Sus scrofa: one gene and its partners. The protein of the gene in region 2 binds, or shares a complex with, the protein of the main gene of each other region. Links are inferred from orthologs where the notes say so. Each region holds a gene or a part of one and is shown on either strand. Other genes may lie near its edges.

Region 1 (2,883 bases), on a different chromosome or scaffold from region 2:
CCGGGGACCATCCCCACCCTCCCCACCCCGCCCCCACCCCCGTACTATCAAAAATAGTGAGTATTTACAGGGTGGGGATGGGAGGGCGGCAGAGCTGCCCTGCTCGGTTTGTTTAAAAAGAGAGTTGGGGGAAGGGGAGGGCAATTTGCCAGGGCTGGGTAGCCCCTATCTATTAACCCTTTGTGAACCATGCCCTCTGGGCTCTCGTGCTTACTCTGAATTACTTTGAGAGCTGGACCCAGGGGAGGGAAAAAATACCTTTAGGAAACAACACTGATTTGGAGCTGCCCAAGAACCCAGGAAGATTGCTCTGAGTGCGAGCAGCCCTAAAAACAATTGGGTGGGGGGCGGCGTGGGGCCCTCGCAACCAGTACTTTTCTCTGGTAGGGGAGCGCAGATGCTGGCAGGACGCCGCAGAGCAACCCTCCCGACAAGAAACTCGGAATAGGCAGGACCCGGGTTTCAGAGGGCTAAGGACTACATAGACGCGCCCCTCAATCCCAGCTGCCAGCGGACGGCTTGGAGTCTGTTCGCTGGGAGCGGACTCAGCGCTCACACGATCCGTTTCCTGTCCCCACGGCAGAGGATCTTCTTGAAGGCGCGGCGGAAGTCGTGATTGAAGATGGTGTAGATAACCGGATTCAGCGAGCTGTTGCAGTAGCCGAACCAGAAGAAGAACTTGAAGAGAGTGGGCGGCACCGAGCAGCCTACGGCCGTGAGCGTATAGGTGAAGAAGAAGGGGAACCAACAGACCACGAACACGCCTATGACCACCGCCAGCACGAAAGTGAAGCGCTTCTCGCGGTTCTGCCTTCCGCGCCAGCGCGACGCCTTGGCGACCCCGCCGCGCTCCTCCCCGGCCCCAGTCGCGGGCGCCCCCGGCCCGGGCGCCCCCGGCCCGCGCCGTGGCAGGCTGTCCCCGGGCTTTACCTGGCTCGCCCGAGCCTTGCTCTTGGCCCGAGGGCCGCGCTCGGACCTGCGGGGCCCAGGGGGCCGCTCGGCGTGCTCAGACGAGGAGCTCTCCTCGAGGTCCAGCCCGTCAGCGTCGCGGGGCCCAGCGGGCGCGGGCTCCCCCGGGGCACCGTTGAGCTGGACGGGTAGCGGCTCGGCCTCGGCGCCCACGCGACCCACGCCGCGCTCGGGGCCTAGGCCATTGGGCCTGCGCTCGGCGCCCCCCGGCAGCGCGGCGGCCGCATCAGGACCCCGGCGGCTGGGCGGCACGCGGGTGCGGCGCTTGGCTATCTGATAGATGCGCACATAGACCAGGATCATGATGAGGCAGGGCGCGAAGAAGGAGCCGATGCAAGACGAGATGACGTACCACTTCTGGTCGTTGATCTCGCAGCGCGGTTCGGCCGGCTGCTGGCCACCGCCGCCTGCCTTCTTCTCGATGGAGATGAGCGGCGGGAAGGAGATGACGGCCGAGATGACCCACACGGTGACGATGATTGCTTTGATGCGGCGTGGCGTGCGCTTCAGGTTGTACTCTATGGCCTGGGTGATGGACCAGTAACGATCCAAGCTGATGGCACACAGGTGCACGATGGACGACGTGCAGAAGAGCACGTCGAGCGCCAGGTAGATCTCACACCACGCCTTGCCGAAGTACCAGTAGCCCATGACCTCGTTGGCCAGCGAGAAAGGGATGACAAGCGTGGCCACTAGGATGTCAGCCGAGGCCAGAGACACCAGGAAGAGGTTCTGGGGCGCCTTGAGCGCGCGGCTTGTGAACACGGCAATGATGACAAGCACGTTGCCGAACACGGTGAACAGCATGAGCAGGCCGGCCAGGCACACCAGCGTCAGTGTCACCTGCAGGGAGTAGGGGGTGGCCCGGGCGCCGCCCCCCGGCGCCTCTGTCCCATTCCAGCTCGCGTTGCCCGCTTCCGGCTGCAGGGAGCCCATGGGCGCGAAGCTGCCCTCGGCCAGCGGCTGCTCCTGGCGGAACATGAACGCGGGTGCCCGTTCGCCTGGGCCTGCTGCCAGCTGCCTTCCGGCCCCGCGCCTGTAGGTCCTCCTCTTCCTCCTGCGCCCCGTTCGCCCAGCCGCGCCTCACATGGGGAAGGGGCCTCAGGGAGGCCGGGCACGAGCTGCGGTACCGCTAGCGGCCCATGGACCCGGCTCCCGCTAACTGCGCCCGGCCCGCGCTTCGGGCGCTGGGGGTCTGCGCCTTCTCGCTCCCGCTCCCTAAACACAGCCAAGTTTTATTTCTAAGCGGCGGGAGAGAGTAGGTCGAGCCGTTGGGGAAAGAGAGATTTATTCTTCAAGAAGGGAGAACAAAATCATCTGTGGCCTGATGACTTGGAAGAATGACAGGAAATTATATATCTATATCTTTGACTCTTGAGCCTGAGCGAAAGCAAGAGGTCTTACCGTGTGCGGGGCCCGCCCCCACCCCGGGAGGCAGCCGAGGGGTGCTGATGCTGGCTTGGGGTCCTACGTCTGTCTCCTTACATCCCCGAAGCGATTACCGACTCTCTCGCTTCCCCCAGACACGGCGTGGCCGGCGGGGCCCGAGCTGGGGCCAGGGTGCTGACTCTGCCGCCTCTCGGAGCGCCGCGGGACTTCCAAAGTTGCGTGCCCTGCTGGGGCTGGGGAGCAGCGCGCGGAGCTCGGAGGCGGCGGCGGCGGCGGCGGGGTGAGGGGTTTAGGGGCCGCATGAAGGCGCCCCCGTCCTCAGGCGGGCCCGGGCGGGTGGGCTATTGGCCCTCCAGGAGCCGCAGCCGAGGCAGGGGGTCTCCTGGGCGTTGGCCCGGCGAGCTTCGAGCGCTGAGCTCAACCGGACAGGCTGGGGTCCGAGGGCGGCGTGAGTTGGGGCAGGAGCTCAAGGCTCGGGAGAGAAGGTGTTGGGGGTGGCCGGGCGGCTGCGCGCCTGCTGCTAGG
Region 2 (3,648 bases):
TGACGGTTTTGACTGGAAGGAGGCGCTTCATACCTGCCCGGCTTGGAGGGTGTCTCAGAATCTGCTCATGGTTTTGGCCTTGATATGGCAAGTTAAGGCCCTGCAGGCGGTGATGACGGCAGTGGTGCTGAGAAGTTGTGGCAGGTGAGGCCCAGGGCTGCTGGGGTCCGGGCTGTGGCATGTAGGTGGCCAGCCAGTGGGAAGGCAGCCACTAGCCCCAAGTGCCTGGCCGAGCTCCAGGAGCCGCCTCGGGACACCTTTTTCTCAGGCAGCCCCAGTCCTCACCCCAGGCCAGGGAGGGTGCAGGGCTGACCAGAGAGGAAGGAGCTCTTGCCTCCTGGGGGCAGAGCGTCCGTGTCCCACAGCTTGTCCCTTAGCCACGCGCCTGGACACGGCCACCCCACAGCTGCCATCGACTGAGTGCGAAGTCCTGAGGGCAGGCCCTCTTACACCTCCAAGCCTAGAGGTCCTCACAGCCGCCAGAAACTTCTCCACCACCATCTCCATTTTACGAAGGAGCCAGTGGGGTGGCCGTCACACTCACATGGTGACAGGGGCAATGCTGGACCTAGGGCCATAGCCGCCTAGCCCCCTGGTCGCCCAACGCTGGTCCTGGGCACAAAGACTTTTGCTCAGCTCTACAGTAACACAGTAACGGCGCCATTCTTGTTGTCGCTGTGGCCATGAGGTGCCTTTGTGGGCTCTTTCAGTTGCGAAGCCAACTCCTGTGCCCTGGAGGGCCCGCTGCTCCTTCTTGGGCAGAAAGAGCCCGTTCCCGGCTGTAGCCCCACATGCCTTTGTTTCCCCAAGGTCCTTTGCTTCAGCCCTTGTGAAGGGCAGGGAAGTGAGGACGACGGAGGGAGGTGAGGGGAAGGGTGAGAGACAGACAGTAGAGGCAGAAAGATGAGGAAGAAGGCGCCCCAAGACGGGTCCTGCTCAGGAATGAGGGCTGGTGAGGAGTTTGCAGTGGCCTGGCAATGGGCAGATCAGGAAGGCCATCTGGGTGCAAGGCCTGGCACCTGCCTGTGTTCACTGGAGTCCCGATGGCCATGGAGCTTGGGGCTCCGTGGCTGCCAGACCTGACCAAATATCCCTTTGCTTTGCCTTATGTTTCAGAGGCGAGTGCAAGCCCCTCCCCAAGGCTGATGGGCCTGGGACTTGGGATTGAGCTGGGTGGGTCCTCAAGGAGAGGCCTGGGGCCCTCGACCCTCCAGTGTTTTGCTTTCTTCGAAACCCATGGCTGGATCAGCTTCACGCTCACTGCACCAGCTGCCCACTTCCAGGTGTTACAGGGAGAAAGATGAGCCAAGTGGAGCTCAGACCACGAACAGTAGTCACAGAGTCAACAACGGACAAGTGCAGGTGCCTTGTAGGGGCAGCAGGCTTGGGCTTTAGGGTGGTCAGTGGGTCTGGGTCTGGATCTTAGATGCCGGAGCCTGCTCAGGCCACTGAGAATGATGGCGTTACCAGAAAGAATTGCACAGCTAGGGCCCCAGAGACTCACCCTGGAACAAAGCTTGGGGGCTTTGTCGATGCCCAACGTGGGAGTGTACCTGGGACCGAAGGAGAAGGGCAAGGGGGACAAGCCAGCATGTGGTGCGAGTCCGGGTCACACACCCAGCCAGTGGCCCTGGTCCCAATCTGCCCACAGCCTCATGTCTGCATAAGTCTCTCAGGACGGCGGCTCATCCTCCCCACAGCACCACACCCCAAAGCCCAGCAGATCTTTGCACAGCCCCATGGGACCAGCAGGCAAAACTGACGCGGAGACACATCCAACGAGAAGACAGGCCTTGTTTAAGGCCTGAGGTGACTGGCCCATGACCAAGCCCTGAGTTCCAGTTCTAGAAGGCTTGAGGCCAGGGGTCTGTGCATGCTTCAGACAGAAGGAGCTAACCATTGCCAAGGGCATGCCCCCACAGCCCAGGAGCTCCATCCCGGCAGGTGCTTGTCTCCAGAGAACCCTCGGGTGCACCACGCAAACACCTGGCTTCTCCTGCAGGCTCTGTGGAAGGCCCGCTGCTCTGAGGAAGGCCCACTGCTCTGAGGCTACAGCCTGGATGTGGGCTGCTCAGTGGGCCCCCCAGCTCAGGATGATCCCCAGTAACAACACAACCACCAGCTCAGTGCTGCTGTGCCAGAAACGGTTCCAAGTACTTCTCACAGATTCTCACTCCATCGCCAACACCCCACCAGGCAGGTACCATTGTTACACCCCTCAGACAGATAACAGTAACTGAGACAGAGAGGGCTGGCCTGAATTTAGCAGCAAACCAGGCCCAGGCCCAGAGTGAGGCAGCACTCTATCCAGGTGAGGGCCCCCTCTGAAGCCAGACTGACAGTTTTCTGAAGCCCCAAGCAAAGACGCATTGACGGAAGGCGGGAACCTGGGCTGGTGTGCCCCAGATGAGGGGCTCATGCCCTGGCTGTCACCCATGTGCCACATCCCTCTGCCCTTCCCGCTACCAGCCCCGTCCACAGCTAAGCTCCTGGCAGCAGCCTGTCCACTGCTCAGGGAAGACCTTCGGGGCTAGGAGTAGCTATTTCTGTCTTACATCTTCTTGACTGCACCCTGATTTCTTTTAGAATTTGCTTAATTTGGTTCTGGCCTGACGGCCTCTGTGACTCTGCTGTGTTTACTGAAGAGGCACTTACTGCCCGGAGTCCTAGAGTCTGCAGAGATGTTTGTGATCAGTCCGCACAGCCTCTGAGCAGGGCTGCCCGTGGCTGCCTTTGCTGTATTACAAGGCATCACTAGGCATTTGCCTGGTAATGAAGTCAGAAAAGGGAACAGGTACCATCCGCCTAATGTTGCAACCCCTGGTCACCAGAGACGCCCACCCCAGAGCCTCCGTGGGCCACTGAGGCCAGTTAGGCCACTCACCGTGGTCTCGTCTTCATGGAGCACCTGGTCATAGCCGCTGAGCGCGACGCAGAAGATGATGGCCGTGACGTCCTCGAAGCAGTGGATCCACTTCTTGCGTTCAGATCGTTGACCCCCGACGTCGAACAGCCTGCAGGGGAGACAGGGAAGCTGGAAGTGGTGGGCGATGGGGCCTGGCAGGTATGGGGATGCTGGTCAAGCTAAGAGGCGGGAGGAGAAGGGGGACTGAACACCTGCGAGCCTCCCAAGGAGCCTCATTCCAGGGAGGTGCTGATGGATTGACCACTGCCATCCCCAGGATACTGGGCTGTGCCCCACACAGTCACTCAAAGACCTGCTCTTGCATCTTGAGACTTTAACTGAGGGGTGAGCTTGGCTGGCTCCTAAGAAGCACCTCTGCAAGGTCCCCCTCTCAGGGTAAGACACATATACTGTCCCGAGCTTTCTGAGTATGTCTCTTCATATTTGTGGTCTGGAAAAACTCCATACCAGCCTGGGAGGGAGGCAGGTAGGGACTGTCACCTGCTACTATGTGTAGGGACAGTGAGGCACCAAGGGTTGGTTAAGTGCTCAGGGTCCCAGCAGAAGTTGCTGTGGTAGAACTAGGGTGACACTCAGGTCTGTCTGCAGACAGAGCCTCTGCCCTGTGCCATCCCTCCCTCTCCCCCTCTCAGACACCCCCCTCCAGGTGGCATGAAGGCTGTAGGGGAGCACTGTGGGCAGGCTTTGGTTAAGCTCATACTAAGGCCCTGAGTGAAGGTCCA
Region 3 (3,648 bases), on a different chromosome or scaffold from region 2:
GATGTCTCTCCTCGAATCTGGTGACTGGTGTTGGGGTGGGAGGCCTCAGTTATTCAGTGAAGAAAGAGAAGGTGCTTCTTTCTGAACTGGTCCCGTTAATGACACAGGAGGAATGCAGAGCCCAGGAAGCAGATGGCCGGCAAGTTCATAGCCTCCTCAACCCCTGGCTGGTAATGAAATCCTTGTGGCATTGAAGTCCTGGAACTCCTCACCCAGGAAGCATCACCACCTACTAGGCTTCTACATCTTTGGAGACCAACCCCCAGCAAAGTCTGTGACAGGGGCTGGCAATCAAAGCTCTGAACACAAGGAACAGATTAAAATGACACTGAGCAGAAAGAATATCCTCTCTAACTATAAAACGAAGCGATCTGAATTTACACTCGGCACACCTGGATTCGGCAAGTCCATCACTGCAGGGCTGTGCCTCCAGCGTCTCGCCCCCACCAGAAACATCTGGGAGGAACCAAGATTTAATGGGCAAAGACTTCTGAGAAAATAGCAATATTCACCACTGTATTTGCTTTAATACTCCATGTGCATAGGAATCAGAAGGGGGAAACACGAGAACAGCTCTGGTGCAGGAAATCACTGCCTTCCCCCATGCAATCCCAGAGGCAACCAGGAGGCACAGCTTCCTGCAGTTGTGCAAGTTCACACACACAGAGGCTGTCTTGCATTGCCAGTGGCAGCTCAAGTTTCGAAAAGCACATGAGGTATCACCAATGGGATAAAGCGTTTCTGCTGCTATATCCAGCTGTATCTGAATAAAGTGCAAACAATTTTCCATGCAAAGGACATATGCTGTTCTTTAAAATACACACACATATACAGAACTTTTTCCCTGGGCATCAAACGGAAAAGCTGATGAGGTCCCATCCTCTCTGACCATTTGCTCTTCTCCTGTCCAGAGAAGTGTTTATACCGTGGCAGATGTAAACGCTGTTTGCTGGAGGAATACAATTAGTGAAAATAAATTCATGAACGAGAGAAGTAAACATGCAACGGCTTCCATCAAGTTGGGTTTTTTGATCTAAAATTAAATGTTTCACATGAACCACCGATTGGACACAGATGCATATTACACAAAAGTTTTTTTTTTAAAAAATGGTGTGCTTTTGTATCATCCTAAAATGTATCAGAGTCTTGCAGTCTGAAAACTATTTTTAATATGGAATTATTTCGTCTTTTCATACCCTTTTCTAGTTGTAAACTTGAATAAATATAAAATTGTCACAAAACTACCCTTGAAACTCAAGTCATGATGATTTGAACACCAAATTAACATTTCCAGATGGAACTATATTTGGGGTAAAAGCATTAGACATTTTTACCAATTTAATGAAAAAAATATGTTTGTCCGAGATAACATATCCCTCGGTATCTCCATTCACAAGACTTGTTTTCTTCAAACCATGTCTGAACCAAACATTTAGTACACTTTCTTCACGTGACTTACTGAATTCTGAATTCATGGGAATTATTTTCTACACATCATCTTCACTGACATTTTTAAAGTTCTCTCTTTTGGGCAGAATTATTTCAAAGCATAGCAAATTACCTTGGCCAAGTACATATATTTATATAATTTTAATGCCCAGTTTCATTCTCAGAAACTCATTCCCAGCTTCCACTTTAGAATAGTTGCAGATGTTGCTTTTCCCAGATATTTTTTCACTCAGCTGTACAAAAACCAAGTTCATAGGAGAGTTTTTATTTGACATCTCGATGGCTAACACCCCAGGATCACAGCTGCAACATCTGTGGACCTCCTGAGATAAACTTAATAGACCTCGTGATCACAGATGGACACGGCACATCTCAGAAGCCCTGTACACTATTTACAACTGGGAGCAAATGTGACCAGTGAAAATAAATTTATTTCCATTGATTAGATGTGTCTCTATGTAAGTGGCCACAAAAATAAAGTTTAGGGAAAACTTTCATGGGTCCATAATCATATCTGAAAACACATACTTTATAACATTACCCTTCATCTAAAAATAGAAGAACTGAAGCATAAACGTATTTTCTAAATAAATTTGCTTCAAAATGTAGGTCACATATATTCCTGACCGTCTTTATAGGTCCTTATTCCTATGATGAATTGAATATATCTCTGGAATTCTCCTGAACTTTCACTTCTTAAGGGGTATAAAAATACATCATTCTCTTTTGTGTGGGGAATAGAAATTAGAAATAAAATAAAATTTAGAAATAATCTCCACTAGACCTAGCGATTTCCATATAGATCAAAGTACTTTTTAAACACAAGTGGAATTTACTTAATATAATCTGAGTGGCTATTAAGTTGTTGCCTTGCCTAATACCTCAATGCATTTTTGTGTGTGTCTCATCCACGTATGGAAATACCACATTAAGAAAAGTCTGTCTTTTTTCACACATGAGTACAATTGGTTGATGGTGGGGTGTCTAGTCGACTTTTATTTTCTTTAGTGTCATGAAGAGGGGATTCCTTGCCAATGTGGCACTTGAATACTTGTTTATAAGCTTTCCTGAAATTTTCCGAGAGGAACGCGTAAATGATGGGATTCACAGAGGAGTTACTGTACGCCAGGCAGTGCGCCGTGATCCTGAAGAGGAAGGAGGCGGGGGTCAGTGGGAAGACCCCAAACTCAGCCCAAAGGTGGATTACGTGGTGTGGCAGCCAGGAAACCCCAAAAACCACGACCACCACCAGAACCGTCTGTGCCGTCTAGAAGAACAGGAAAAAGGAAGGAGAGACCTGGATTATAACAGAAGAGGAACCCAGCACTTTACAGCACCCTATGAGATAAGTTTACGTCAATTTTCACAGAGTAGAGTGAGGATTAAACCTGCTTTCAGTGTCAACCTTCAATTCATATAGTGGGTTTTATACAAAACTTCCTCAGGACTGATCTTATTCCTACTCCATAGGAATAATTCTGTCCTGTATGTGAGATGCATGTGGGTAACAGGAAGCCTGCTTTAGGGTCCTGGGAACAGGAAGGCAGAGACTGAACACTGTAACTTTAAAACCCAGCAAGCTCCGACACGAGGTGCACAGTGGAGCTGTTTCCCAGGGCATCTCAGCTGAGAGCACGAGCCCTGCTCCCAACAGTTGCCTCAACAGACCAGGATAGATGTTAACTTCTCCAGATTGAACACCGACAAAGTTAGACACTGCAACACAGGGGTGCGTGAGTGCAGCCAGAGAGCCGTTTCCAACAGTCGCTGGGCCCATCCCACCAACTCTTCACTTGCAACTTAAGCCCTTCTCTGCTGCTCCTAATTCTGAAACACCTGGAAATCAGAGGCGGGGTTCTTGCCTGTCCGTTGAGATTTCTGCTGAGCAGAGGATGGAAAAAGCTCTCCCCTGAGCAAGGACCTCAGCAGGAGAGGAGACTTTCCCCCTCGCACGTGGGAGCCCACTTCCCTCCTCCCTGCACCTGGGTGCCCTGGACCCCGTTTCCCTCTGCACCTGCTCTGAGCAAACGCCCATACAGCTTCTATGGGCTATAGACCTAAAGGACTGGGATTAAGTCTTAGGACACCTTTTCCTGTTTCTTTGCCACTAGTTAAGCACATGTTGAAAAGCTAACCATGTGATGAACTGAAAACACCATCTCTATGGATTCGAACAAAAGACTGTGGACAATGAACATT

What was found.
Region 1: the proteins of GNAO1 (region 2) and ADRA2A are in contact, whole or in part, in a cryo-EM structure (PDB 7W6P), measured with the Homo sapiens proteins. The link is inferred for Sus scrofa from reciprocal best matches to the Homo sapiens genes GNAO1 and ADRA2A. Residues at the interface, in NP_066268.1 of Homo sapiens: Ile28, Lys32, Lys193, Asn194, Leu195, Asp218, Phe336, Thr340, Asp341, Ile343, Ile344, Ala345, Asn347, Leu348, Gly350, Cys351, Gly352, Leu353, Tyr354; in NP_000672.3 of Homo sapiens: Arg77, Arg146, Ser149, Ile150, Ala153, Ile154, Asn157, Leu158, Arg160, Pro162, Ile234, Ala238, Arg241, Arg383, Arg386, Phe387, Val390, Leu391, Phe444, Asn445, His446.
Region 3: the proteins of GNAO1 (region 2) and GALR1 are in contact, whole or in part, in a cryo-EM structure (PDB 7XJJ), measured with the Homo sapiens proteins. The link is inferred for Sus scrofa from reciprocal best matches to the Homo sapiens genes GNAO1 and GALR1. Residues at the interface, in NP_066268.1 of Homo sapiens: Ser264, Asn316, Glu318, Tyr320, Asp337, Asp341, Ile343, Ile344, Ala345, Asn347, Leu348, Arg349, Gly350, Cys351, Gly352, Leu353, Tyr354; in NP_001471.2 of Homo sapiens: Thr70, Arg133, Ala136, Ile137, Ser140, Arg141, His226, Leu227, Leu231, Asn233, Ser235, Lys236, Lys237, Ser238, Ala240, Ser241, Lys244, Thr245, Thr248, Leu306, Ser307, Glu308, Asn309.

What each region holds. Positions count from the first base shown.
Region 1 is NC_010456.5:121,468,594-121,471,476, reverse strand, and holds ADRA2A (alpha-2A adrenergic receptor), read right to left. Parts: upstream 1,906-2,883; coding exon 553-1,905; downstream 1-552. UniProt on the Homo sapiens protein: Alpha-2 adrenergic receptors mediate the catecholamine-induced inhibition of adenylate cyclase through the action of G proteins.
Region 2 is NC_010448.4:29,432,365-29,436,012, forward strand, and holds part of GNAO1 (guanine nucleotide-binding protein G(o) subunit alpha), read right to left. Parts: intron 3,015-3,648; coding exon 2,885-3,014; intron 1-2,884. UniProt on the Homo sapiens protein: Guanine nucleotide-binding proteins (G proteins) function as transducers downstream of G protein-coupled receptors (GPCRs) in numerous signaling cascades.
Region 3 is NC_010443.5:147,447,479-147,451,126, forward strand, and holds part of GALR1 (galanin receptor type 1), read right to left. Parts: intron 2,717-3,648; coding exon 2,399-2,716; 3' UTR 1-2,398. UniProt on the Homo sapiens protein: Receptor for the hormone galanin. The activity of this receptor is mediated by G proteins that inhibit adenylate cyclase activity.